Rhinolophus ferrumequinum: one gene and its partners. The protein of the gene in region 1 purifies or fractionates together with the protein of each later gene. This does not show direct contact. Links are inferred from orthologs where the notes say so. Each region holds a gene or a part of one and is shown in the gene's direction. Other genes may lie near its edges.

Region 1 (7,165 bases):
CCTTTGATCTAAGGGTTCTCTTGGTGCCGGTGTCCCTGTTTCAGTCTGATCCCGTGACTCAGGCCTCATCACTATGGACCTTGAAACTAAACTGTGTCGTGTTTTAGGCTTTGCAGACCATCAACAGTCTGACATTGGTGTACCTTTTGTCAACAAAAGCCACCCAACAATGAATCAAGAGTCAAGGTGTTGGGTGAACATTCCACACTCCCTACCATGGGCAGCATCTCGTTGCCAAGCACTGGAATGGCCTCCTCCAAAATCAGCTCTACCTCCCTTCCCTCCTCTGGTCCACACGCCTTAGTGAGGCAGGCTGGTCACTGAATGTGGCCATCCCCCAAAAGCATTTGTCTCCTCTTGGTCAGTCATCCCTTGGGTAATGACGAAGATAAAAGGGCTGGGGAGCTCTCTAGACTTATTCTGAAAATTAAAGATTCTGCCCTACCTATTCCTTGGAATGACACTCCCTACCCGCCCTGCCGCCTCCCCTTATGGCTACCCCAAGCCAGCCTGGTTGGTAGACCCTCTGGCTACAGCCAAGCCACAAGGGAGCCTAGGGCATGCTAACTTAATTCTGGTCTAGTCACAGCATTTTCTTATTGTTTTGACATGGTTCGAGATCATTTGATTAAGGACACTGTTCTCCAGCTTTCTTATAGTGGCCCACACAGGCTGTGGCAGGCTGAACAAGATCCCCCAAAGATATCCAGGTATAATCCTTGGAACTTGTGAAGGTTACTTTATATGGCAAAGAGGATTTTACAGGTATGATTAAGTTAAGGATCTTCAGATGGGGAGATTATCCTGGATTATCCTAGTGGGCACTAAATGTAATCCCAAGTATAAGAGAGGGGTAGGGAGAGATTTTACTAAGAAGGCAATGTGGTGATGGGAACAGAGGGACAAAGATATATGAAGATGCTGCTGAAAACACTGGATTTGAAAATGAGGAAGAGGCCATGATCCAAGTAATGCAAGGAATGTAGTTCCAGAAGCTAGAAAAGATGACAGGAAACTAATATATAGGTCAAGGTGGAGGGTATAATGGTCTTTGCAAATTTTGTAAAAATGCCCTCTTTCACTCACACCTGACCCTTCTGGACAAAAGGTCTGTATGCAAATAGGGGATAATTGGAGAAAAAGCTACTAGGATGTGACACACCAATTTTGTGGCCATAGAAGAAGAGCAATAACCCAGCAACTGGAAAGGGAACACCTTAGACCCAGGAGGTGCAGGGAGGTGGGAGGAGGATCCCTTAACGTTCTCTTTGTCGTCTAGATCTAGCACCACCGCAGCCTAGCAAGCCCATCCCGTGGCTACCTGAGCTAGGCAGCAGCTCTGGCTGGATTTGCCAGCACTGAAACTCCTCCTTGTGAACACCTCTCCCCATTCCATCTGCATGCTGACACACAGACCAGCACAACCTTGTTTCAAACCCACTACTACAAATTCATGCGCTTCTCCTGAGGCCCAAGTGTCCTTGAGTCAGCAAATCCTATTAACTCTACTTTCCAAATGTATCCTGAATTCAATCAGGACTCACAGGTTTTGCCCTGTCCAGGGCAGCTGGGTGAAGGGGCAAGTGGGGACTGAAACCCAGCTTGAGCTTAGAAGGGACATCCTTTTCTTTTTTTGGAGAACTTTTAAGATTTCCTCTCTTAACAACTTTCAAATATGCAATACAGCACTACTAACTATAGCTGCTGTACTAGAGACTTTTTCCAATACACACCAGGGCATGTGGATAGCTACAGGCCTGAGTCATCTCCTACCTCTGCCTCTACTGCCCAGGTCCAAACCATGGTCATCTCTCACCTGGATTAGGACAATAGCTCCAGTTTTCCATGCTTCTATGTCCCCTACCATCCATCTAACCTCCATGCATCAGCCTGAGTGACCCTTTACAGCCTTGAGTCAAATCAAGTCATGTGTCTGTTCAGACTGAAAGCCAAAGCTCACGAGTCCTCACCTGGTCTGACCCTGTTACCTCTCTGATTTCATTTCATCTCAGTCCTTCAGTCCCCACTTGCCCCCTCACTCAGCTCCAGTCATTGGCTTTCTCATTATTCCTGGAACACATCATGCATTCTCTTGCCCAAAGACCTTCGCACTTGTTCCATTTGGAATACTCCTCCTCCAGCTCTCCTTACACCTTGCTCCCTGACTCCATTCTGGTCTTCCCTTCCATGTAAAACACCACCCCTCGAATCCCTTTTAATATCCTTATGTGTGCTTATTGTCTGTTTCTTACAACTCGAGTGTAAGCTTCATGAAATCAGAACTTGGTTGTGTTCAGTGCTGTAACCCCAGCACCTGGAATTGTGCCTGCTGCATAGTAGGCACTCCTAAATATTTTTTAAGTAAATGAATGAATGATGGATGGGTGGATGGATGGATGGATAATCACTGACCCCAAAGAGTAGAATTTCTTGATAACACCACAGATTCAAAGCAATCGGTGACTCAGTCTGTGTTCTTTCCTGGAGGGCCTTCCCTTCAGTCCTTGGTATCTTCTTTGCTGACTCTCTGAGCAGCTATTCCCCACCAGCCCAGTTACCTCCACTCTGTGGAAGGAAAAGTTAGCAAAACAACAAAATGATGCATTGTGTTTAATTTTGTTGGAAGGTAGAAAGAGAACTGTGGGATAAGTTGCCTTAACACAATTTCAACTTGAGTTTTTGTTAGTAGATTTTTAATACAATGCACTTTTAAGAAATGCTCAGTGAGCTTACTTCCAAAGCATGTATAATCAACTGATTCAATTTCAAAATCATCCTTGAATTTCACAATAACCACTGTTTTATGGGTTGTATAATTATCTGAGCAGTTTCAAAAGCATTTGAAACAACAAAAAGACAAAGAAGTACTTTAATGTGTGAAACAACAACACCAACTGTCAACTTTATTAACCCTAGAATAATTCTTGTCTTTATTTTAGCCTTCAATCTGAGAAACTCCTTAAACGTTGCCTATCATGTAAAAGAGATAGATTTTTCTGACCTCATTTTCCCTAAAATGGCACATATGCTTTTCTTCCATTACTGTCTCAGTTGGCTGGAATGTTTTTCACTGGAGATTAGAATGAGATAAACTCTTTCTCAACTTCCCCTTGGCCAGAAGACCCCTATCCCTGCAGGATTTCTCAGGCCTCTTCCTTTGAGTGTTGCTGGCCCTTCAACTTTCCTTTATCCAGGTTCCTAAGTGGAGAGGTTACTTAATTCATGTAAGTTATTATTATCACTAGAAAACATCTCCAGTACCTGCTAGTTCTGGGCACCAGAATAGGCTCGTGGGGTCCAGAAACAGGTCTCTACCTGCTTTCTAGAGCTTACATTTTGGGTGGGGTACAGACACATATTAAAAAGCCAACCAGACATGTTGGGGCAGCAGAAGGGGTAAAGGCGGTGTACACAATTTGCGTACATGGAAGAGTGGGGAGAGGGCTGGAGTGGTCTCTTTGCCAGAGGTGAGATTTACGGAGATGGAGAGCACAGGGAGCGTGGAAGGGGTTAGGAGATTCTGGGGATGCCCCTAATACTGTTGTTAATACCATTATTTGGGAGGAGGAAAGATAGGACTTGCAGAGAGCTACTCAAGACCAGGCTCCACCCCAAAGTATTCATCCATTTACTCAAAAATCATTTAGGTACCCGTGTCAGGTACCGTGTTGTCTTAGGGGTTATAATGATGAACATGACAAAAGGCCCTTGCGTTAGTGGGGCGTGTTAAAAGAACAGGTGTGAGAGCTAGCGTGGCTGAAACATGGGGACCAGGGGGCAGAAAAGGCCAGGGCCCATTGACAAGCAGGGGCCGAATCATACAGGGCCTTGCAGGCCGCGGTTAGCAGCTTGGATTTTATTCTGAGGGCAATAACATGACATTTCATTCATTCTGTAATAGACTTAGGGACTAGGCAATCTTAATCGAATTCTGCTGACGAAGACGGAAAGGTTGGGGTAGGGTTAAGTAATTTGTTTAAGGTCAGTCGCAGACGAGAGCCTGGGTCAGGGTCTAGGAAAATCTGTCGGCTTCAGGGCCATGCGGGCGTCGGACTTTTGCCGCCGGAGGGCTGCGGGCGGACACCAGGCAGGTAGGACAGCCGCTGTCTTGCGCCAGAGCAGGCGCGCGCCCCGGGGACGATGCGCATGCGCCGCCACGGACGGAAGCCGGGAAGGGGGGCGGGGCCGAGGCCGGCGGGCGCGGGGAAAATGGCGGCGGTGGCAGCTGCGGCGAACGGGACTGGGGGGAGCAGCGGGATGGAGGTGGATGCAGCAGGTAACGGGCCCCGCGGGGGCGGCTTCTGGAGACGGCCTTCGAGGTGCGTTAAGGCCGCCTTCCTGGATCTCAGGAGAGGTCAGGAGGGTGGACGGTAACATCGCTCCCTGGGATAACTTGCGGGAGGGATATATGGCCCGGCTCTGCCATCTCCCACTCCCGTCTCCTGGGAAGGGCGTGGGGCCCGGAGTCTCACTCTCTCTCCTTCTCCTCCACCTTTAGTAGTCCCCAGCGTGATGGCTTCCGGAGTGACTGGGAGTGTTTCAGTTGCTCTTCATCCCCTGGTCATTCTCAATATCTCAGATCATTGGATTCGCATGCGCTCCCAGGAGGGGCGGCCTATGCAGGGTGAGTGTTCAGCCTAATTCTGCAACCTCCTTTCGTTGGTCACCTCCACCAAACAGTGGTCTGTTCTCCTTCTTTTCCTGAAGATAATCCTTCCTCGGCCAAATCACCATTTCCCCTGTATTTAGTTCACATTGACTTCACACCCTCCAGCTGTAATGATTAGGTAAGTTTTGGGATTCTTGCCTCTCACCCCTGTGTGTCCTTCTCTTCCCCAGTGATTGGGGCTCTGATCGGGAAGCAGGAGGGCCGAAATATCGAGGTGATGAACTCCTTTGAGCTGCTGTCACACACCGTGGAAGAGAAGATTATCATTGACAAGGAATATTATTACACCAAGGAGGAGCAGTGTGAGAGGGGAATAGAAGTGGAAGAGAGGAGTGGGAGGAAAAAAAAAAGCAGAGTGGGGAAGATGGAGAGGGTTGGGGAAAAATAAACAGGACATGGGATGAGAACGGTGGGAAAGTGGAGTACCTGAAGAAATCTCAGAAAAAGAACACATTCGGGTATTCTGCCCCAAAAAAATGAAGGATGAGAGAAGAAAATAACCATTCTAAAATGAACCGGGATTTGAGGGGAAGGAGAGAAGCTGGTGAAAATACACCAGGAGCTTCAAATTAAGGAAGGATGGTTTAAAGAAATACTTTGTGCTCTGGCCCCTTCCTCTCCAGTTAAACAGGTATTCAAGGAGCTGGAGTTTCTGGGTTGGTATACCACTGGGGGGCCACCTGACCCCTCCGACATCCACGTCCATAAGCAGGTATACGTGCTCACACATGTGCATGCTGGGGTAAAGAATAGAGGATGAGGGAGAGAAGAAAGATGGGCAATACACTTATCCATCATCCCCCTCTTCCAGGTGTGTGAGATCATTGAGAGCCCCCTCTTTCTTAAGTTGAACCCCATGACCAAGCACACGGATGTGAGTAACACTGACCCAATGCCCATTTGGTCATACTTGTCTATCGCTATGCTTATCTTTTTTACTCATCCCCTGCTGTCTTTTACTGTGTGACATCTCTGTTGAATTGAATCTTCATTCTGCCATTTATCAGCTATGTCTTTGGATTAACCTGCATTTTTCTTATGTGTAAAACAGCGATAATCTGTCCTTCATTGGCCCTTCAATGTGAAACTGCCAATCCCAATTTTTGGCACATAGTATAGTTTCAGGTGGATTTGATGTAAGAGCTGTTCTCCATCTCTTCTTTACAGCTTCCTGTCAGCGTTTTTGAGTCTGTCATCGATATAATCAATGGAGAGGTAATGCCCTACCCTTCAACCCTCAGATCCTGCCCCTGATGTTTCCCGCTTTTGACTCTCCCTATGTGTCCTGTAGGCCACAATGCTGTTTGCTGAACTGACCTACACCCTGGCCACAGAGGAAGCTGAACGCATTGGTGTAGACCATGTCGCCCGAATGACAGCAACAGGCAGTGGAGAGAACTCCACGGGTAATGGAGGCTGGAGGGGCATACTTGGAAGTGGGGGTGGAAGGTGTAGCCACAAGCCTTTTCAACCGTGGCCTGTCCCTGCCCCCTGCAGTGGCTGAACACTTGATAGCACAGCACAGCGCCATCAAAATGCTGCACAGTCGCGTCAAGCTCATCTTGGAGTATGTCAAAGCCTCTGAAGCAGGTAGGACGGGGACTCCCTGGCACTCCTACCACTTTTCCACTCCCTCCTGGGGAAGTGACAACATCCACATTAATGCATCCTCTCTTTGTACCTTTAGGAGAGGTCCCCTTTAACCACGAGATCCTGCGGGAGGCCTATGCTTTATGTCACTGCCTCCCGGTACTCAGCACAGACAAGTTCAAGACAGACTTTTATGATGTGAGTGTTAAAACCCAGGAAGGTGGGTGGGGCTTATGCTATCATTTCTGCATGCAGGACATAGGACTCAGGTGTTCCCTGGCATGTGAGGGACCTGGATCTTTCTGTTCCCTCCCAGCAATGTAATGATGTGGGGCTCATGGCCTACCTTGGCACCATCACCAAAACGTGCAACACCATGAACCAGTTCGTGAACAAGTTCAACGTCCTCTATGACCGACAAGGCATCGGCAGGCGGATGCGGGGGCTCTTCTTCTGAGGGTACTTGAAGAGATGACGCACAGGGGTCAGAACTGTCCCAGAGGGGAGAGGTGTTCCACTCCCCTTAGAGAAACCTGTCATTAATAAAAGGGGAGTGCCCCCTCAGCACCCCTTCCAGTGGCTCTGTCCTCTGTTAGGCACCACATAGGTTTCTCACTTGGATGTTAGGCTCTCGGTTCCAGCCTTGCTCAGAGGCATGAGTCCCATTTTATCATCAGTTCTTCTCAACACCTTTCAGTGGTTGGGAGCTCACTGCCACTTGAAGTGACCCCAAGTCTGGTCAGGTAGACTGTCTATATTGAGCCAAAGGCTGCCTGCTTCCACCTAAGCAATGGGTTTTGCTCTTTAGTATCTCCCTGTAAACAAATGACCCCTTTCCCAAGCTTAGTTTTTCACACACAAAAAGAGATTGGGAGGGAGCGGGATATTAAGCACATTTCTATGAGG
Region 2 (7,128 bases), on another chromosome or scaffold:
CCTTGTGCCATATACAAAAATTAATTCAAAATAGACCAAAGACCTAAAAGTAATAAAACAATAAAGATCTTACAAGAAGACCCAGGGGTAACACCTTGGATTTGGCTGAGTATTCTTAAATGTGACACCAAAAGCATGAGCAACAAAAGAAAAAACATAAATTAGACCTCATCAGAATTTTTAAAAGACACCATCAAAAAGGTGAAAAGACAAATTACAGATGGGAGAAAATGTTTGCAAATCATGTATTTGATAAGTTACTTGTATCTAGAATATATAAAGAATTCTTACAACTCAAAAAGACAACCCAACATAAATGAATGTACAATGTCTGATAGACATTTCTCCAAGAATACACAAATGTTAAATAAACATGAAAAGATGGTTGACAGCATTAGTCATCAGGGAAGTCAAATCAAAACCATAATGAGATACCACTTCAGACACACTAGGATGTCCAGAATCAAAAAGTCAGATATCAAGTATTAGCAAGGATGAGAACTGGAAGCCTCATACATTGCTGGTGTGAATAAAATATAACTACTTTGAAAAACTGTCAGTTCCTCGAATGATTAAATATAGAGTTAATCATATGGCCCAGAAATTCCACTCCCAGGTGTATATATATATATATATATATATATATATATATATATATACTCAAGAGAAATGAAATGAAACATGTCCACGCAGAAACTTGCACATGAATGTTCATAGCAGCGTTATTCATAATAGCCAAACAGTGGAAACAACCCAAGTGTTCATAAACAAATAGACAAAATGTGGTACAGCCATATAATGGAATATTTGGTTATAAAATGGAATGAAGTACTGATAACATGCTACAACATGGATAAACCTTGAAAACATTAAGTGAAAGAAACCAGTTACAAAAAACCATGTACTATATGATTCCACTCATACAAAAGTCCAGAATAGGGAACTCTACAGAGACAAAATAGATTAATGGTTTCTTAGGGCTGGCGAGGGTGGAAAGATGGGGAGATAACTGAAGGGTACTGTTTCTTTCTGAGGTGATGATAGTGGTTGAAAATTGATGATGGTTGCACATATCTGTGAATGTAGTAAAAGCCAGTGTACACTTTAAATGGGTGAATTGTACAGTGTGTGAATGTCATCTCAATAAAGCTTTTCTTTAAAAAGTGCCACTAGCTGTCAAGTATGTGAGTCTAAAGCATGAAGGAGAAGCCTGGGTTGGAAATAAAAACTTGGGAATCATCATTATGTGGTAGTTTAATCTGAGAATGGATAAGATCACTTTGGAAGAGCATGTGAAATGAAGGGGAAGAGAAGCTCATGAAATAAGTGGTAAGAGATATAAATAGAACTATGGAATACAGTGTCTTAGGAATCAGTGGGATTGAATATCTAAAAAGGGTAATGATCATTACAACCTCAAATGCAATAGGAAAGAATCCTTTTACCTTTCAGCCTCTATTCAAATCTATTAGCAAATCACTTCTGCCACCTTTAAATTACATACTGAATCCAACCACTTCCACTGCAACATGGCTTCCTAACTAGTCTTTCAGCTTCTATTTTGCCTCCCTGCAGGCAGTTCTCAAAGAATCAACCAAAGTAAATTTCTTCATTGATAAAAATCAGATCATATCATTCTTTTATGCAAAACCTTCCATGGCTGCCTAGCACTCTTTGGGTAAAATCCAAAGTCTTCTCCTTGGTCTATGAGTCTGTAAGTCATCTGGCTCCCATCTTGTTTCTCCAAACTAATTTCCTACATGCTCTTTTGCCTTCCTTGCTGTTCTTTGAATACACCAAACACACTCACGGTTCAGGCTTTTATACCTTGCTGGTCCCTCTGCCTGGAAGGTTATTTCCCCAGTGTGTATGGCTCATTCCAGATCTCTATTCAAATGTCATCAGCAGAGGGGCCTTCCCTGAACCCACTACGTAAAAGAGCATAGCCTGCTTTCTTTTCGTTTATAGTACTCAATAATTTTGTCTTAATAATTTTGTCCCTCTTATCCCCCTACACTCCCAACTCCTGCACTAATACAAGTTCTGTGAATGCAGGAAACTTGGTTTGTTTTATTCACTCCTGCAGTTCCAGCACCTAGAACAGGACCTCAGATGTAGTACTTGTTGATAGAATCAATAGTTGTTGATGGAATGAATGAATGAATAGAAATGGTAGGGCATTAGGTAGCTATTTTGTGCTTTGGCACTCTTATGTGTTGGGGTTACAAAGATAAAGAAAGACCCTACTCTCATAGTGCTTATATCTAATAGTATAGTTAGATTAAAAAATACATAATTGTAGGTTAAATGTTACTGCTAAAAAATGTTATGAAAAAAATAATGCAGAGTAAGAAGATAAAGGAGGATGGTGGTGTAAGGTATCATTTTAGTTGGAATAGTCAAGAGCTGCCTCTCTGAGGAAGTAGCATTTGAATAGAGATCGGACTAAGTGGAGAGTGCAAATCTAGTAAAGACCTGTTATAGGATTGTAAATTGGTGCAGTCAATATGGAAAACAGTATGCATATTGAAAAAAATTAAAAATGGAGCTGCCACATGACCCAGCAATTCCACTTCTGGGTATTTATCCGAAGAAAACAAAAAAGCTAATTCGAAAAGATATATGCACCCCTATGTTCATTGCAGCATTACTTCAAATATGGAGGTAACCAATTCAATAGACGAATTGGTAAAGAAGATGTGGTATATATATGATGACTCAGTAATTAAAAAGAGAAATCTTGCCATTTTTGATAACATGGACCTAGAAAGTATTATGCTAAGTGAAATAAGTCAAAGAAAGACAAATACCATATGATTTCACTTAATATGTGGAATGTAAGAAAAACCAAATGAATAAAAAAAGCAGAAACAGACCCATACCTAGAGAGAAGCTGATGGTTGCCAAATGGGAGGAAGGTGGGCAAAAAAAGTTGTTTTGGACTATAAAATAAATAAAGCCAGTGTTCTTAACTAGTGTACTATGATTGTACATATAGAAACTCAAACGAATCTACAGAATAAGTGAGCTTAGCAAGGTTGCTGGACACAAGGATAGCATATTGAAAATATTTGCATTTCCTATTATCAGCGGAAAAAAAGATCTGGTAGATGAACACTCCAAGAAGAGGAAACAAGTGCAAAAGCCCTAAGGTTGGAACATGTTTTGGTTGGAGTGACAGTGAGAAGGCCAGTAAGGCTAGAGCAGAGCTAAGCAGTGTGGGATATGAAATTAGAGAAATAGGTACCAGATCATGTAGGGCCTGCCTTGAAGGCCATTATGATCATTTTGATTTTTATTGTGCCATGGGAAGCTTTTGGACGTTTTGAGCAGGACAATAATATGACCTAACAGTTTAAAAGGGCACTCTGGCTGCCTTATGTTTAACTAGCAGGACGATAATGGAAAAAGACAAGCCAGCTAGATGCCTATTGCTACAGTCTAGGGTAACATATGACCTATAATAGGATAATAGGAGGGTAGCTAGCAGTAGAGGAGGTAAGAAGGGGTTAGATTCTTGCACCCTGGACTTCTGGTCAAAAATCTCCTAGTTTCGCAACTGGGAGTAGTAACCTTGTTAGGAATCCTCTGTATGCTTTCTTTAGGTGTCAGAAGCAAGCAGTGTACACCATTAGGGCCATTCTTGGGAACCAACACACCACCTCCCCTCGGGGAAAGATCCTCTTGAATAGCTTAGCTGCACTTCAAGCTTCTGAATCCCTTATTTAAAAGTGAGTAAATGGAGGCTGTCAGGGGGAAATGGGCTTCGAAGGTATAGAAACCACTTAAGAAAATCGTCCTTATAGGAAATGGGAGTTTTCAGAAGAAATCTGGCGAGAACTGCTTATTCCCAGTATTCAAAAACGGTAGAAATGGAGGTCACCCAAGAGGTTGCCTGCCAGCTCGTTAGAAATGAATTTTATTACCACTACAACTCTGGGAGGCTCCTAACTCACATTTGTTTTGAATACCACAAGGGACGTGAGCCCTTCAAAGCATACCCTACAAATGTAACTTTGCCTCCTCGGTAACGCGCAGGCGCCCCTCGCCCTGTTTTCCGTTGGCCTTAAGCCCCGCCCCTTACGCGTCCTTGGAGGAGGGTTGGAAGCGGTGAGCTCGCGCGACCACTCTTGCCTCCGTCTTCCCCAGCACTTCGTCGCAAACAGGGCCGGAAAGCGTGGCAGCGCAGGCGCAAGCGCAGACAGCGGAGGCGGTGGCGGTGGCGGTGGCGGCCGCTGGCCAGTGTAAGATGGCGGCGGCGTTGGTGGCGGCAGTGGACAGGGCGGCTGGGCCTGGAACAGTCGGAGCAGCTGCTAGCAGGAGGATGACCCGAGACGGGAAGCGGGCAGCTGAGTCTCTCCGGCTCCCGTGCTTGTAACTGCCCTAGCCGGACACCCCTTCCCCTTGACCTACCCGGTCCGTGTCTCGTTCCGGCTTGGCCTGTTCCTCTCTTCCCCTGGTCCGTTCCCCCACAGGATAGGTTTGACTTCTTTCCCAAGCTCCCAGGGTTCAGGTCTTCTCCTTTTCCTGACCTCAGTCTGCGTCTAGAGGATTGGCTGCCCTTTCTTTTGGTCAGCCCTGGGATTGCCCCCAAGAACCTGCCCCACAATCCACTGGGACGTCTTGCCTCGTAGGGTGACCCACTTGTGTGCGCTTTTTTCTCCCCCTTAGATTGGGGGATGCGGCTCACTCTGAGTCTCCCCGTCACCTCAGGGCCACGGCGCAATGTGTCCCCTCCCCCATCTGGGGCCCAGCACCTTGTACGGAAGGCCCGAGGTCCAAGAACCCCAGAGTCAGTTGTTGCTGGCTGGTTTTGTACCCTTTGTAATATAAATCGCTTAGTTTATCTCCCCTTACCCCCAGATGTTTCAGGACACCGTAGGACGGTCCTATTTGGTCCCTGTTAGTTGGAAAGCATCTAGTGGCTTGAATTTCTGACTCATGATTGTTGCTGGAGTCTGTAAACAAACCAGCACTAGCGCTATCACATTCTCTCCAGGATCTCCAACCCCCACTGCCAATCCCCGCTCTGTGGCTTGTTGAGAGGTTGGTTATGGGTTAGGGTTGAAAAGATTCAGGTTTTCCTTTGAAATGACTTGACGTGTTAGTGGAGTTGGGAGATTACTTGCATGGTTCATTTTATTTCTGTTAACGGTTTGTAGGTTATTCACTCGGTACTTACAATGGGATAAATTACTCTGGTTTTAAATAGTTCTGAGGAGGTCTAAAAATACTAAAATGTATTCATAAATATCTTTTTATTATGGTTAGTAGAAGAGACACCTTTGTCATTTAAACTTTAATTTTTCTCAGTCCTTCGGTGAATCTACAGACCTATTTTCTCAGGCGCTCAGCCGGGCACCACTACAGTGATAAAGGAAGAAAGGTGAGTAGGAGCTGAGGGCATTTAAATTCCTGAGTCCAAGACAGACCCTAGCCTGGTGCTCAAGTGCTGACCACTAAAGTCACAAAATTCTTACCACAATTTCCAAAAGAGTTGGGGTATTGTATTTGGCTGTGTTCCAGCTCTGGTTAAATTACTTTTACAAGTTTAATTGGCTGTGGGCGTCTTGATTTTCTGTTTTAAACTATTGCTGTATATCCAGTTAAGCCTAGAAGTGAATATGTCTCCTTCATTTGTGTTGTGTTTTGTCTTTGTGTGGATAATGTTTCTTACATTGTTAAAAGTTGGGAATTGGTTTGCCTGAATTCTGTTCAGACTTTTGCCAAATCAGGTCTCTTCTCTGAGGGCTTTGGGTTGTCATTCCTTGCTATTTAGAGAATATTTCGCTGCTTGTCCCTAAAAGCTGGGGAGTGACGAGTGATGCTGCCTTTATTTGGTGTCTGAGTTCAGTCCACTTCAGAATTCCAACTTTTCAGGACGTAGTGGTAAATTGGGGGTGAAAAAAAAAGTGGCTGTTTTTTTATAGCTGGTCTGAAGAATTCTTGGTCAGCAGAGGAATCATCCTGTGAATTCAGCAGCATGGGCTAGTGCCAAAGAGGGAGTCAGAGCATACTTGTAAATGTAATTTTTGTAAGACTCTTGGATTTCTGGTAGCAGAGAGTAGTGCTGTGGTTGGGGTTCAGCGCTATGGATGTGACTGAAGAGCTGAATGGCTCTGGGAGGGAGGCCTGGGTGATTTTTAATATCTTTATGATTTGTAGTAGGTAAAGGTTGAGTGTGACACTGGTGAGCTTTATTTCACATGGTGTCCCGATTAGAAAATGCTCATTATGAACTGGAATAAGGTTATTATTGGCAGTATGTATAAGTATCAGTAAGATATAAAGGGAAAAGTATAGTCTTTAGAGCTGGATAGGTCTGGGTTTAAATACTGTGCTAAGATTTATGAGCCATGTGGCCTTGGACAAGTTACTTACACTTCTCTCTTAATTTTCTCTAAAAGTGGGATAAGTACCACTTACTTCCTAGGGTAATTGTTGGTATTGTATGAGGACACCTATATAAAGCTATAAATTATGCCTACCACATGATAGACCCTAAATTTTTTTTTTCTATTTTCTTTACACATCATTAATATGGCTTTGAATAAGTTATACATTAGTTTACACTTATTTGCATTTTGCTTTTGAACATGTTTTCCTGGTTATTTTTTCAGATTCATTTTTAATTGGTCAGCTTAGATGTTTGCTTTGTAGGTGGACACCTAGGGTTGTCTTCTGAACATGATACAGGTCAGCTCATGACCAGAGGACAGTGGGAATATTAGATGTTGGAGTATGTGTATCTCAAAATGGATTCTTAAAATAAACATCAATAACTTTCCTTTGTTCATTGCTTCCTTCCTCTTGGTTTCTCTATTAGCAACACCTCATCAGAGTTGACACAATTATTGTACAGGCATACCTCAGAGATATTGTGGATTCATTTCCAGACCACTGCAATAAAGGTACTATTGTGATAAAGTGAGTTGTAACCTTTTTGCTGATGGAGGGTCTTGCTTTCAATTTGTAAAAAACACACCCATCTGTGAAGCGCAATAAAGGGAGGCGTAATAAATAAGATATGCCTGTAATTTCTTCCCTTCCTACTTCAGTGTTCACCACTTCTGCTCCAGCTACTCCTTAATGTTTTTTTCCTTTTAGCCATGGAGGGAAATACATTTT
Region 3 (7,296 bases), on another chromosome or scaffold:
GGGACAAAAACCGGAAAGTCTACTTTCTAACCTTCTAACCTCCACATCTTTCAGTCACATTAAATGTAGTTTCTTTTGTGTGACATGTAATTCCTCAAAGCTCTCATGTTCCCTGCAGGACTAATGGAACAATCCACAATTGTTTACTCCTTTTGCTATCAAATGATGTTCAAGTGAAGGTCAAAGCTGCATTTTAAAGAATCTACAAATTCCAATGTAAAAGCATGCTTTAAAGCTTTAAAAACATTTTTGTTTTTTTAAACTGTTAAACATAGTCTGGAAATGAGTAACTTCTTGAAGCCAAGTATTTTGACAAGGAGAGACAGAAACTGGACTACGGGGCGGAGGGAGGAATACACAACAGGCTGAGATATGTGTGGCCCAGAAGCATCTCAAACCTTGTCCATGGAGATGAAATTGCAGAAACCAGAACGCAACTACAACTCTGAATAAGACATTGCTAAGTACCTTTTGTACAAATTGTATCAAATATCCAGAATCACTGTACTATTGCATTGCAGTGATATGTTGTACTCATTTCCAATTGGGCACTCTTCAGAGGGGTTCAAAAATTAGATTTCTACTTTAAAAACCACTCATTTGCTTCAGTAGCTTTGGTTTGGGAAGCAGAATTCTTATTTTTATAAGTGCCCCAGGTAATTTTCTAAGATGTTTGGAAAACATTGATATAAGCATCTGAAATAAATGGAAGTTTTGCCTACATGAAGACATTCAACCTGAATTAAATAGAGCTGTTTTAAAAACTGTACTACTTTTAACTCATTTAAATTGGCCCATATGCTTTAGTGAAAGGAAAATTTGGTATTGCTTGTTAAAAAACAACAAGTTATTTTAGGAATATTAGAGGGACTAAGAAATAAAGATAATTTTTAAGTAGATGTGAAGTAATCACATAGGTTGACTAAATTCACAAGATGTTTGAAAAATAATATTTCATCGTTATTTTAAAAATGAGAGTTGTATTATTTACTTAATGTTTTCATCAGTTGATAAAATTGATAGAAATTGTTTTAAAGAAATGGGGCCTGAGAAATTTAAATATGTCTTTAATTTTCCTAAAATCTTTTGCTTTTAATACATTTATATACATTTATTTAAAAAAATCCAAACCATATAGTAAAGTACAAAAAGAAGTAAAAACTATTCAAGATCTTACAATCTTAACATTTTGGTAAACATCCTCTACAAAAACAGATACATGACAAATGGATTCATACTATTTCAGAACCTGTTTTTTAAAAATACAGTATAAAATTATATTTTTCAGTGTCTCTAAAGTTTTCTCTACATCAAAAGTTGTAATCTCTAAAGAAAGTTTTCTCTACATCAAAAAATTGTAACTCTGCAGTATTTCATTCTATACATGTACCAAAATTTACTCTGTACCTCAGCTTCCTCAGCTATAAAACTGTATAAAAATACTATTATAGTACATGTAAAGTACAACAGTGCCTGGCATATAATGAACATTAAATGTTAACTGTTATTATTATATATTCTGTTTTCCAGTTTATTATTATTAAAAGCAACATTGTGATAAACATCGTGTACTTAGAATTTTTTCCATTCTAGGTCAAAATGTGTATTTTTCATAAATTCTTAAAGAAATAGCCTAACTCTGTGACCGTTATTTCAGTTTTCTGTAAAACAGATCATGATGTAAAGTGCTTAAAGTGAATCATAATTACCACAAAGTTCAGTCTTTATGATTTAATGATCAGTCAATAAGAGATCTATAAAATTATGCCTCCAGTTACATATAAGCAATATTTTCATGAAGCTTGAAAATAATATTTTAGTTCGTTTTGTAAATAAAGGAGTTTATATTGCTCTGACTGCATTTCTAGCTTAACAGAAAGATTTCTGTATGTTATTAAAATAATTTGATGTTTTAAGATGCTTCCAATCCTAAATGTCGTTATCATGTTGGGGACAAATAACTTACAGGATCAGTGCCTAGTATTGTCAAACTAACATCCCAGATTCTGTGTCCAAGCTGATCTGGTAATATTATTGTGTGTGAATTGCCTTTCTAATGCACATCATTCTTTGAGTGTGATTTTTTTTTTTTGGGGGGGGTCTGTTTTTAAAAGGCAAAATACCAGTCTGAGGCATATCTATGATTGCCTCATAGATATGGTTGGGAAACAAGCATCCATTGGTGAAAGATTCTAAAGAGACTGTTTTTCTGGGCTGACCCACTGAATCTCGCATTGTCACTGATGGTCCAAATCTCTGATACAGGGGGCCCCTTCCAGCACAAGTTCCCCAGCTAAATGCCTAATACTGGACATGTCACTTTACCTTCCCAAAGAGGTTGCTAAGTTCATGGTCACTCACCCAGAGAAGCTTAGAATGTCTCAAACTGTACCCTCATTGAGAACAAGTGTGAGAGGTCCATGTGAGAATGGGGTTTTATCAGTAATGATTTAAAGGCCAGGTGAAACGAGGTCGAGGTGAAAAACTAGAAGCTTTTCAGAGTCTAAGCACACTGAAAGAGGCAAGTCATAGATTCATCTTTATTTCTTTCATTTTCCCAGGGAGGCTAGAATCTAGTAGAATTTTCCCCATGTCTTTCAAGTTCTAGTTTTATATTCATGGTGTAAAGAAAAAACTGGATGACATCACCTCACTATGAAGCAGCTAAGTTACACAGAAAGAAGCACAAATGTAACCAAACAATGTGTTGAAAAGATATCTTGTTTTACAGATACGACGTTCTTCTTTGGTTTTTAACCTTTGCCCTTTGGTAACATAAAATTTTAATCACTATTGGAGAAGGTCTCTTCCGTTTTAAATAAGGGAAATGTATTTATGATGAAGGTATTATTTAACAACTTGTCATTCAAGAAGAAAGCTGAAGGTTGTAATAAGAAAAATAAAGTCTAAACTCATATTATCTCCAAGTTGAAGACATTTATAGTTGGTTCTCACATCTTGGTCTGGGAAAGTTTTCAAGGGTTTTTTATACGGTAAGAGTAAACACACCCTCTGCTCTCTCCCAATCCTATCCCTCCTTCTACTCAAAGGTACCCTAATAATACCCCCTGCCCCTCAGGATTAATTCATAGCTCATGAGCAACACAAGATCCTTTGTATTATTTGGGGTGAGCTCTCTTTTTGCAATGTTTGGTGACAGAAGATGGAGAAGAAGCTCTCCTTAAGTAGTCCTCAGACTGAGGGAGGCGGGGTTAGAGAAAGGAAGGGTAAGAGGGTTGCAAGAAAAGCCACCTCCATAGGCAAAAATGAGCAGAAGGGGTCTGACCTTATGTCCAAAGCTAACATTCCGTAATGGCTCGCCCAACCACGTTGAAATAGGGAAAGCAATGACGTTTCCATAGGTTAGGAAATATTTTAAAAGAAGGCCCACGATCTAACTTTATTTAGTCGACTTGTGCTTTCTTTTAATCGCATAAAAAGGATAACAGGCCCCAGCAGCAAACACAGGCTTCTCTGCTTCCAAACCGCTTTCCCCCGTGCACCCCTTGCGCTGAGTCCTGCAGAACCTGCTGCCGTCCGGCTGGACTTTCTTTCTGCAAGATGGCTCCTACACAATGACCATGCCGAAGACTAAGCTCTAAGTGCCACCTACATGTCCAGAGACGGCCAGTGAGCCTTAACCCCTTGGGACACGAAGAGGGACTGGGCCAGATGGGCGATCCCAGATGTGATGTCTTTTTGACTCCCTGGACCCCAGACTGCCTTCATCCCTTTCCCCCACTCCCGTTCCTTTTGCCTTTTTCTTCCTCTCTTGTAAAGCAGCGTGGAAGAAAAAGCAGACTGGCTTCCTCTCGTCTCCTGTCCCTCGCGAGCATCGCTGCAGACCCGGGCAGGCTGCAGAGGCGTTGCGCCCGGCGTGCGGGGGAGGCTGCGGGGCCGCACCTTCCCGCCTCCCGCGCGGTCCCCGCCGGGGCACCAGAGGCCCGCAGCCTTCCAGCCCTTCCCGAAAGCCGGATCCCGTCCGCAGGTCTGGCGGGCGGCAGGGGTCCTGCGGGCGGAAGTGCGAAGCGCGCCGTGGGAGGAGGCTGCAGGCTGGGGGCTGGGATCCCCTCCCGCCTGACGCGGCCTTGGACAACCCGCGCAGGGACGGCGGCCGCCTGCCCACTCCCGGCGCGCGCCAGCCGGCCCTTTTTTGGCTCTGAACCGGACCAGAAAGGCAGGGCCGCCGCGCTGGGGGAGCGAGGCTGAGCTGCCGCACCCGGGACCAAGAGAAGGGACTGCTTCGCGGGGCGCTGCCGCGACCCACACAGGCTGGGCGAGCGCGGCAGGGAGCGGGCGGCCCTTCGCCGGCCTCCTCCTCCGGGCGCCATCCCCCGGCGCGCCCAACTCGGAACCCGGCAAGCGCGGGGGCGGGGAAGCGATCGCGCAGAACTGGCGGGCAGCCCCGCGGCCCCTGGTCCCCCAGCCATGTCGGCGGAGGAGATGGTGCAGATCCGCCTGGAGGACCGCTGCTACCCGGTGAGCAAGAGGAAGCTCATCGAGCAGAGCGACTACTTCCGCGCCCTCTACCGCTCCGGCATGCGCGAGGCCCTGAGCCAGGAGGCCGGCGGCCCCGAAGTGCAGCAGCTGCGCGGCCTCAGCGCCCCGGGCCTGCGCCTGGTGCTGGACTTCATCAACGCCGGCGGAGCCCGCGAAGGCTGGCTCCTGGGCCCGCGGGGAGAGAAGGGTGGGGGGGCGGCGGAGGACGAGGAGATGGACGAGGTGAGCCTGCTGTCCGAGCTGGTGGAAGCGGCCTCCTTCCTGCAAGTGACGTCCCTGCTGCAGCTGCTGCTGTCCCAGGTGCGGCTGACCAACTGCCTGGAGTTATACCGCCTGGCGCAGGTGTACGGGCTGCCCGACCTGCAGGAGGCCTGCCTGCGCTTCATGGTCATCCACTTCCACGAGGTGCTGTGCAAGCCTCAGTTCCACCTCCTGGGGTCTCCTGCTCAGGCCTCAGGGGATGTCAGCCTGAAGCAGAGGCTGAGAGAGGGCCGGATGACTGGGACTCCTGTCCTCGTGGCCCTGGGGGATTTTTTGGGGGGGCCTTTGGCTCCTCACCCCTACCAGGGGGAGCCCCCCTCCATGCTCAGGTACGAGGAGATGACTGAACGTTGGTTCCCGCTGGCCAACAACCTTCCTCCTGACCTGGTTAATGTCAGGGGTTACGGGTCTGCCATCCTGGACAACTACCTCTTCATAGTGGGCGGGTACAGGATCACTAGCCAGGAGATCTCCGCTGCACATTCCTACAATCCCAGCACCAACGAGTGGCTCCAGGTGGCCTCCATGAACCAGAAGAGGTAAGCACCCAGCGAGCGCTGCTGCTTTCTCATTCATTCACTTGTTCATTAGTTCATTCCCTTAATGTTTACTGAGCAGTCACAGGAGGTTGTGCTGAGGTGGGAATGACATCTTCAGGAGTGTGGCTGGCCTTGACTCTGGCAAAGTTCCCAATGAATAAGAACTTTCAAGGATGAAGAGGCCCCAGTGAAGTCAACTAGCTGAGTAGTTTCCTTGCAGGTATTGTGTCTTTAGGCAAACTGCTTTCTTTGCCCCTGTCCCAGTGGAAAAAAACATTGTGGTTTTCCAGAAGGATACTTAAAAATAAAATTGTTTTTTAATTTTGCTTTTATTTTTTATTTTTTTTTTATTTTTTAGGATCTGATAATGATGACACATTGACAGCAACCTGTAACACTGACCTTGGGGGATTTTTGTTGTTGTTAATGACTTTGAAGTCTTCCACACTAGGGCACCAATCTATGATCAGGAGATAATCATTAGATTAGAATTGTATTAACATTAGCTGTGTAGGATTGCCTTTCTTATTTTTTATCCTCTCTTTCTCATCTCACTTCCTTCCTAGGCATTGTTATTGACCCAAAGTTTCAGCCTGGAACTGGTCACCTACACTGTTAGAATATTTCCATCCATCCCAACCTTCTCCTTTCCCATCTTGCAAATCCCTCCAGACATGAACTTGGGTGACATGAAAAAAAGATGAGAAAAGGAGGAGATTGGGGGAGAGTTAGATAAAGGAATCAGGAAAGGAATAGGAAAATAAGAGCAAAGAGCAAATACAGGAAGGGGTGGTATGAAACAAAGATGGTCGGGCACAAGATGGCCCAGAGCCATTCAGAAGTGGGGAGAAGAATCAGTGTAACTCAAGAAAGAACAAGAATACCCTTTCTTCTGATCCACCTGTATCCATCTCCAGTCCCACTATGTGTCTTGCCCTGAAGTGTGGAGCAAGGAGTCGAGGGACTCACCGCCTGTCAAAGAAATTCTTAATAGGAATGGGGAGGCCATTACATATATTTACTTGACTCTAGGGTGCCCCCAGACCAGGGGGAATACTGGCTTTATTTCTACTATAATATAACATTTATTTTGGAAAGCATTCCTTTTTTCTGATGATTAAAAATAGTATATAGATATTCTAGAAAAATGGAAAAATGGAAAAGAATAAAGAAACACAAAGGCTATCACTGCTACTGCCTCCTTCTGAGAGGGAATAACCATCTACAAGTTGGCATATTTTCTTCCAACCCCTTTTTAGTGCATTATTTACACTGTTGAGATGATACCATATTTAAAATTTGTTATTAGAAGTGTTGTTTTAAAAGAAATTCTAGGAGCTTTAATTGAAGCAACACAGGAACACTCAGTGGTGCTCAGATTAGGGGTGGAAGGCCCCTCTGGTTGTCTGTCACTTCTACACGTGTCTCTAATTGTATCAATTGGTGCAACCTCCAGCTCCATAGCTCTAACACAACACCTCATAAATTCTTGTTTTTTCTTCACAAATCGTTGGTAGTCTTTTTTTTGCCCCTTTTTTCTTTGGGCAAAAAAAAAGTATTCGAATGATGCAGGAATATATGCTTAGAAAAATTGCAAATGACACGAAAAACTATAGACTAAAAAATATGTCTATCTATAGACATACTTATATATTATAAATTTATAAATACATATTTATATTTATAAACTAAATGTATAGTCATATAAATATAAGTATATTGATAGTGTTTAACGGAAAATGTATATATGTATGCATGTACATGTGGGGGTGCATACTTATACATATATTTACTCAAATTGATTAGGTTAGCTGATTATTACGGCACTTGATATTTCTACTTAACAGTATACTGTATCTGACAGTTTTTTCTATATCAACAAATGTCGATTCACTTCACTCTTATTAATGGCTGTGTAGTATTCCAGCCTATGGAAGTACGTAATGTAATTAGCGCTTCCCTTATTTATGAGCAGTTAGATTGCTTCCATTTGCCA
Region 4 (7,319 bases), on another chromosome or scaffold:
ATTCCAATGCCCCTCCCCAAGGCAGTGCTGCTCTTCTCTCAGGTCTCTGGAAAGGGTGAAGCTAAGCTGTCCTTGCAGCCAGGCCTGGGCCCTTGCTGTTCACGTGTGCTTCCCCTGCTTCCACTTCAGCTACTCAGCCCCAAGCTGAGGCAGCCAGAACTGACTTGCCTAAAGTCCCTCTCCGCCCTGTATCAGGACAAAGACATTTTGTCCTGAGAGCGATGCGATCACTGTTTTTTTAAGAACTTAGTTTTAGAACTAATAAATATCTTTTAGAGCCTAGATTCAATCCCGTCTCTATCCTTAACCACAGTCCCCAAACCCTAAAGCTGTGCTTCTGGCAGTGGGAATTACTGGAGGCTTTTTCTTCACTTCCTTCATCATGCAAATACCATATAGTAGCTCTTCATTGCTCCCACTCACCTCAACTCTGGCTCTCACACTTAGGATGTGTGTGTTTGCGTGCACATCTACTGAAATGCAGTACTTATGAATGTGTGGCTTGTATCTTCAGGCTTCTGAAGTATAGTGTTGCTTTTCATTGGTTCATAAAGAACATAAAAATGATTAACTTTGGGGTAAATCTGTTCTTTTTAACATTTTTAATTACAAGGGGGCATTGTCTACATTGTGTTTCAACACATGTTCCATTGAAATGGTGATATTAATTTCATCTTTGATTGATAGTGGATGTTTGACAGTGGAAAGAGCGTGAGGTGAGAGGCAACACGGGAGGAGAAGCCCTGACTGCCACCGGCTATACTTGGCAGCCTTCCTGATTCTTGCTTCTTTTCCCTCTCCTCTTTTTGTGTCCTACACTGTATGCCTCCTAAATTATCAGTTCTCTAAATTAAGGTGCCTTGCTGCCACTCCCAGGCCTGGAACGCACTGCCCTATGGGTATCCTTTACTCTTTTACTTTTTCCTTTCCTTATTCCGTTTGGACGGAACTTAGAGATCGCTGCCTCTGAGAAGCCATGCTTGACCCTCCCAAACCCAGATTACACCCCCCGCTTTGTGCTCGCTCACATAGCACCCCATGTTGTCTAAACCTGTCACAATGTGTTGGGGCCTCTGAGACCAAACCTGAATGTTTCTGAACCCTTGTTGTCTGGCCCCAGGCAGAAAGCAGTTATTCTAAGAACTGCCAGCAGGGCTTTAAGGATGGAAGTGGAATAGGAAGAAGCATTTGGTTCCAGGAAAAATCACATTGTTGAGTCCTCTTGACCATGTTACATTATCAATTCGTTTTCCTTGAGATAGCGCCCCACGTTAGTGAAATAACACAAATGTAAATACATTCATTAGACACACTTTGTGTCACGGGGGATGCCCTTTGAGGGGTTTTTGTTTGTTTTTGCATCCACATCACTTTCAGATGTTTTGGGATTTGGGATTCTAGTTGAGCCCACAGGATAAGTTTGGGGGTTCATGAGATTGGGGAAGATAGGAGATGGGAGAAACAAGTGATATGCTCAGGAAAGGGTTCCCACCAAATGACTACAGATCCGACTCAGAGATGATCAGGGAGGATATCCCTGTGTAGGAATCTCTAGAAGCCATGACCTGTTTAAAGAGATTGAAGTTTCCTTGTGATAGCTTTAGGTTTTTGCTTTTCTAAGAGGGCGGTGGAGGGAGGCTCAAGTTTGTAAGTTGGAAGTGTAGAGAGAAAGAGCTGGAGAAATGTGGAGAGGGGGTGACAGACCCTAATGCCAGCAGTAATAGGAGAGAAACTAAGAGGAGCCATTCGAAGTGACAGGTGACCAGCGATGCCCAAGATGTGTGAGCATTAGCCAGGAATCCGCCAATATTCATGAAGACACCAATTTCCTATTAGTCATGCAACGTAAAGGCTCAAGTTATTCTATTTGGCTGTTAAAACAAACTTGAAAGCCTGGAAAATTGGGGGACCCTCAGACTATATTTTGAAGGCGCCATCTGGGATAGGAGCCAGGAAATAATGCTTAGGACAACAGCCACCGTCCTACTGGAATGTGTCAGTGTACAGGTCTTGGTGTGAATCTGCAGAAGTTAGTACTGATTTGGGGGATACCGGTGGACCCTGAGGGGCTGAGATGGATTGGACCCCGTAAGATGCCTTAAAAACCCTAATGAGCTATAGAGCATTTAGCAAAACAGTTTTCCAAAGAAAAGAGAATGCATATGCAGCTTTATTAGAGTTTGCTGAAGATACAACTCTTCAATTCCCCGAGACTGGGGTGGGGGCTAATTACATGAAAAGTGATTACCAAGATAATTACCACAGACTCTGGATTTCTGAAAAGCCTTGTTTTAAAAAGAGGAGGGAGGGTATACAGTATCCTAAATCATAAGCCTGCTGGATAGGAATTTCCTTCCAACTCCACTACCACTCCCAGTCCCAAGCCTCTGGCCTGCCTCCGGACATCTGGGACTGCCAGATAGCGGATTTGAGGACTGTATTCTGAAATACTTAAGCTAGTGGGCTAAGAAAAGACAGCTTCCATCTGCCCCATGGGGCTCTACCAGTGTGAAAGCATGTCCTCAAGGTATTTAGGAACTCCCATTATTCCAGTAATTGGTGGGAAAAATAATTGAGGACAGGAATTATCTGGAGGAGTTCGTTTATTTAAATGATGTGGTTTTACTTTGCCTGGTCTTGAGGAAGCAGGATGTTTCTTACTATACCAGAGCCTTCTATAAAACACTTTTTTTTTTATGAGAGTGAAAGAGGCATCACTGATTAAACTTTTTTTCCCCCAAGGGTAGGCTCTACATAGTAGTAAATATATAGACTGGTGGAAAGACACAGCCCAGTTTCAGAAACAGTCAAGTATAAAAAAAAGCATATTTTGGACGGTAATGAAATGTCACATCTGTGACTATGTAAGATCATCAGGGGGTACTGATCACGACATCACTGTAGATATATTTATGATACACAGAACCCAGACATTTCAGTTCCTGCTGAATCAAGAACTGACTTGACGTCTCTCTCTAGACAGGTTAGTTCCACACTATGTGATAAATGTATAGCTCAAAATGTTACGTGTCAGCCAACGTGCAAAAATATAAAATCAGCGCTTTTAGACGTTCAGGGATAATGTATGAAAACTCAAATATTCAAAGTTGAATGCATGCCATTTTAAAGTTTATTTTATGGCTAATAGTTTTTTTAAAGCTTGTTTTATAGTTTAAATGGGAAAAGGGACGCTTATTTTCCTATTTCCAGAAGATTAAGGTGTTTCTCTACTTTTTTCCCACGAAGCAGTCTACTTCAGCAAAACAGTACACCATGTGCTGTTTTGGCCTCTTGGGAAACATGACATGTTCAAGTTTGCTAGAAAGAGATAATGATCGCTTTTAGCCACACATCTAACTGCAAATACATCGGGATATTGGTCTAGAAAGAAAATGGCGGCGGGGGTGAGGGTGGGGGTAGGGGTGGGTCGGATAAATTCCTCAATTTAGGATCAGAAATGGGCAATGGACTCAATTTAAGGTCAGTTGTAGAACCACTGGTCTCCAACTGTGTATTTCTGTCACCTACACTTTTCCCACAAAGAGATTTCACAACAATAAATTTACAAAATAGTCCTATAATGTAGGTTTATATTCTAAATCAAGAAGGTATTTATAAAGCATTAGCTAGAATTCCGCAGCAGGTTTGTTAGAAACGAATAACCCCCCCCCCCAAAAAAATCACTGCCCTCTGAGTATTAGTTCTTGCCATCTTATTTTGACGCAAGTAGAAACAGAACGGCGTTTTTAGATCCAGCATTTCTATATGCAGTGCATACGTGCCCGTTTTTATGAATTTTCCCGGCTCTGGGAAACGTATTTCTGAAACGTGTAATTGTTGTGCAATAAGCCAAGTGGAACTATGACGCAATAATACCCTGCAAGTTGCCTGACAAAAATGATGTCATTTGGCGCAGATGTAGTCACTTTTATAACACAGGTAGATACAGCAAAGCTCCCTCAATGTCGTCCCCGATCCCCCTACCCCCACCGAGTGCAAAACGGCAAAAGGCATTTTCCGGGCTTCCTAACCCTAAACTTGTTGAGGGGTGGGAGCACCGCAGTAGCTAGAGCCCACCGCTCGTGCAGACGAAGAGGGACGTCTGCGCGTGGACTGGCAGTCAAGCATTCCCAGCCCCGACGGCGAGGTAAGCCTCGTCCCGCCGGGCCCGGGGCCGCCTGAGCCCTCCCTGGGGCCCGCTGGCGTGGCCAGCCGGAACGTGGGGCCTCGCGGGCGTGGGACAGCCCTGCCCCCACCCCGCTCCCACACCCGCTCCCGCTCCCGCGGCGCCGGAAATGACGCGCGCTGGCTGAAAGATGGCGGCATTGGCGTTCGACCAGGGGGAAGGTAAACACCCTCTGGGCCGCCGCCCGCACGCGGGCCCCCTTGAGGCACCCGCGGGGGCCGAGGGCGCCTCCAGAGCCTGATCTGCAGCTTATGGCTTCCTACCCTTCGACCTCCCTACCCGCGTGGCAAGCTTCCGCGTTGAGACGACGGCGCACAGAGCCCCCTGCCGGCGGGCCCCGCCTCCCTGGGCGGGCCCCGGGCGGCTCCCGTGGCCCACAGGGGGCGCGCGGCCCGGAGCGGCCCCTGGCTCGTGGCCCCACACGCCCCGCCCCTTTCCCGCCCCTTTCCCGCCTTCCTCCACCCCCGGCGTGGGTGATCCCGAGGCTCGGCGCGCTTCGGGGCAGAAGCCCGGAGACGCAGTCGTCGACGCCTCCACTGCCGGCTTTTCTGCTGCTACCCGCGGCCCCCCAGCCCCTTTCCCCGCCCGCGGCCCCGAGTCGGCCCTCCAGCCGAACCCCGCCGGCCGCTGCGAGACCCCTGGCATTGGCAAGGTTGGGCCCGGCCCCGACGCCGCGCCGAGCCCGACTGTCTTGACTCGCGACTCAGCGCTGTCTTCTTTCCCAGGACTGGTTTCGAGGGGACCGCAGGCGCGCAGACTCGCCCCCCGCCGGAGCGCCCCAGCCCGGCCTCGGAGCGGCTCCTTGTAGACGTTCGAGAAGCCTGCCGAGTGCCGTCCCGGCGCCCGACCGCCCACCGCCCGGCCGCCGGCCCGCTTCTTCCTGATGCAGACTGCCGTCCACTAGAGGTTGGACAGACCCCCGAGGTGCGTAGCCGCCCCTGGCCCTCCGGCCTGCGGGAGCCCGGGCTTCGGCCGCGGGCCCGCGGTCGGAACCGATTCGGTTGCCCTTTCTGCTCAGATCCGAGTCAAACATTAGGAAGGCGCTGGGACCTAATTTGTCTTTGAGTTTACTTAAATTGTTTGAAATTTAATTTTTTTCAAGGTGGGGGGAAAAAAAGGAAGAAGCATAATTCAGCCATTTTTTGCAGCACACAGCTGCAGGTACCATGATTATTTTCTCCCTAACCCGTTCCTTCCCTTTAAAAATTCTATTTATGCCTGAAATAAAACTATGCGAAATACGAGGCATAAAACGTGGAATCAGAATGTCTGGGTTCGACCGGGGGACTCTTGAGAAAAATCCCTTACCGAGCCGTGGTTTCTTATCTATGAAATCTAGTCAGTAATAGCCACATCACAGGGTAGTGAGGACTATATGAAGCCATATATATGAAAATAATCTATAGCTGTAAAGTGTTAAAATGGAAGGCAATTTTTAAAGTAACCGTTGCCCGAGTGGTTAATGTTGTAGTGGCTAACTGTTGCTGCCTCTTTATTTCTATATTATGAGTATAAGCAATAAGTCCGGAATATCGAAGCAGTGCTGTGAATCGACTAGATAGATATATAATAGTCACATTGCTTGGCCTTCTTCCTACGAAATGCTAACTGCTTATTTAAATAACGGTATTCTTTAATTCAAATTTAACGTTACTGTAGTGCTTTGCTTTTCATTTTTCTAGGCCGCTTATGTCCCTGTTCTTACTCGCAATATTTATTTAGCACCTACCTTTGTTTAGACTTTTATATTTACCGAATTTATATTTTCTTTTGTTAATCTGATTAAATTGTAATTCAGAAAATGCTTTTAAGTTATATATCCTAATTTTAATGCCTATTTTTCATATCTTGGGAACAGGATGCCTGAATATCTCTACTAATATGAAAATTGTTTTTGAAGAGATTAGAAATGCATTCAGATTTCTATAATTCTTAATAGATCTAGAAATGTTTGCAAAATTTCAACTATTTGATAATGTAATAATATTTATGTAATTTAATTCTCTTAATCATCACAACATTTAGGTGCTTAGAACCAGTTTTTCAGTGTAAAGGATGTTAATTTGCACTCTTTATTGCTGATTAACTTGGAGGGATAGTAGGATAGTAAATATTTGTGGTTTGAAAATTGGACGTCAGAATTTATAATATGTGTAACATCAGTATAGGATGATTCTTACTCGATACATCAAAAATGTATGGTTTGACTTTAAAAATGGTCCACAAAAAGTGAAAAAGAAGCATTTTTTTAGTATATTATTTTTAGCTAACAAATGGTTTTTTGAAATGTTTTATTATTAAATTTATAATCCGATACCAGTTATCTTTCAGAGTATGCTTTTGTGTTTTCTAGAAAGGCAGAATAATATAAGGCGGGCAGGATTAAATTAGCAAAAGGAAGAGCCTACTTGAACAGGCTAGCTAGCTTTTATGCATTGGATTTATCGCTTGTCTTGAAGGCAGAATTTTGCTAAATCATTACTTTATTGGAAATTTTAAGGTTTGATCTCTCTGCCTTGGTTATATGGGGCTAAAATCTTGGAACCAGGGATAGTTTGGCTTCGTGGGTGTTCAAATGGGCTTCAAACTTGGTTTAATAATCTGCGTATAAAACTGGCATTGTACAATATAAAGGTGAATGGTAAAATTCATGCTAATAATTTAAATTTTTAATTTTTCTTTACTTAGAACGAATAAAACAGCAAATAAAAAAACACCACGACAAGTCAAGAGAGACCTCAGAAGAAAGGAGAAAGCTTTATGTTTTAGTACCTTTAATGATACTTTTTTCCTGCTTTTGAATGAGGGACCCCACATTTTCATTTTAAGGGGCCCTGCATTTTCATTTTGCCCTGGGCCCTGAAAATTATGTAGTTGTCCCATTGTCAAGGTTGCCCTTTCCCATCGTAAATGTTTTGAGAGTGAATAACGTTAACTGTGAGGAGAATGAATCTGTAGCTTATGAGGGGTTGGATTAATTTATTAGCACGTATTTCCTCTGAATTGGAATGTTGTACCTTGTGTGGGGTTTATTTTTCTTCAAAAAATGAAAGACAGTCATTGGTAGGATAGTTGGTTAAATGCGAAGGCTCTGAAGTCAGGCAGACGCCAACTCCACTTATTAAGAATCCTA

What was found.
Region 2: the proteins of COPS6 (region 1) and DCAF8 purify together in Homo sapiens (affinity purification with mass spectrometry; 3 studies listed by BioGRID and IntAct, with this or other methods). This does not show direct contact. The link is inferred for Rhinolophus ferrumequinum from reciprocal best matches to the Homo sapiens genes COPS6 and DCAF8.
Region 3: the proteins of COPS6 (region 1) and KLHL42 purify together in Homo sapiens (affinity purification with mass spectrometry; 3 studies listed by BioGRID and IntAct, with this or other methods). This does not show direct contact. The link is inferred for Rhinolophus ferrumequinum from reciprocal best matches to the Homo sapiens genes COPS6 and KLHL42.
Region 4: the proteins of COPS6 (region 1) and KLHL15 purify together in Homo sapiens (affinity purification with mass spectrometry; 3 studies listed by BioGRID and IntAct, with this or other methods). This does not show direct contact. The link is inferred for Rhinolophus ferrumequinum from reciprocal best matches to the Homo sapiens genes COPS6 and KLHL15.

What each region holds. Positions count from the first base shown.
Region 1 is NC_046290.1:90,376,562-90,383,726, forward strand, and holds COPS6 (COP9 signalosome complex subunit 6), read left to right. Parts: upstream 1-4,161; 5' UTR 4,162-4,209; coding exon 4,210-4,276; intron 4,277-4,498; coding exon 4,499-4,624; intron 4,625-4,839; coding exon 4,840-4,971; intron 4,972-5,292; coding exon 5,293-5,381; intron 5,382-5,480; coding exon 5,481-5,543; intron 5,544-5,836; coding exon 5,837-5,884; intron 5,885-5,960; coding exon 5,961-6,075; intron 6,076-6,166; coding exon 6,167-6,259; intron 6,260-6,356; coding exon 6,357-6,457; intron 6,458-6,575; coding exon 6,576-6,716; 3' UTR 6,717-6,830; downstream 6,831-7,165. UniProt on the Homo sapiens protein: Component of the COP9 signalosome complex (CSN), a complex involved in various cellular and developmental processes.
Region 2 is NC_046305.1:28,277,988-28,285,115, forward strand, and holds the start of DCAF8 (DDB1- and CUL4-associated factor 8), read left to right. Parts: upstream 1-4,105; 5' UTR 4,106-4,244; exon of another isoform or gene 4,245-4,459; intron 4,460-4,842; exon of another isoform or gene 4,843-5,046; intron 5,047-5,313; 5' UTR 5,314-5,386; intron 5,387-6,826; 5' UTR 6,827-6,911; intron 6,912-7,128. UniProt on the Homo sapiens protein: May function as a substrate receptor for CUL4-DDB1 E3 ubiquitin-protein ligase complex.
Region 3 is NC_046293.1:38,444,414-38,451,709, forward strand, and holds the start of KLHL42 (kelch-like protein 42), read left to right. Parts: upstream 1-4,295; 5' UTR 4,296-4,428; coding exon 4,429-5,300; intron 5,301-7,296. UniProt on the Homo sapiens protein: Substrate-specific adapter of a BCR (BTB-CUL3-RBX1) E3 ubiquitin-protein ligase complex required for mitotic progression and cytokinesis. The BCR(KLHL42) E3 ubiquitin ligase complex mediates the ubiquitination and subsequent degradation of KATNA1.
Region 4 is NC_046284.1:107,904,518-107,911,836, forward strand, and holds the start of KLHL15 (kelch-like protein 15), read left to right. Parts: upstream 1-4,305; 5' UTR 4,306-4,347; intron 4,348-4,660; exon of another isoform or gene 4,661-4,838; intron 4,839-4,911; 5' UTR 4,912-5,110; intron 5,111-7,319. UniProt on the Homo sapiens protein: Substrate-specific adapter for CUL3 E3 ubiquitin-protein ligase complex.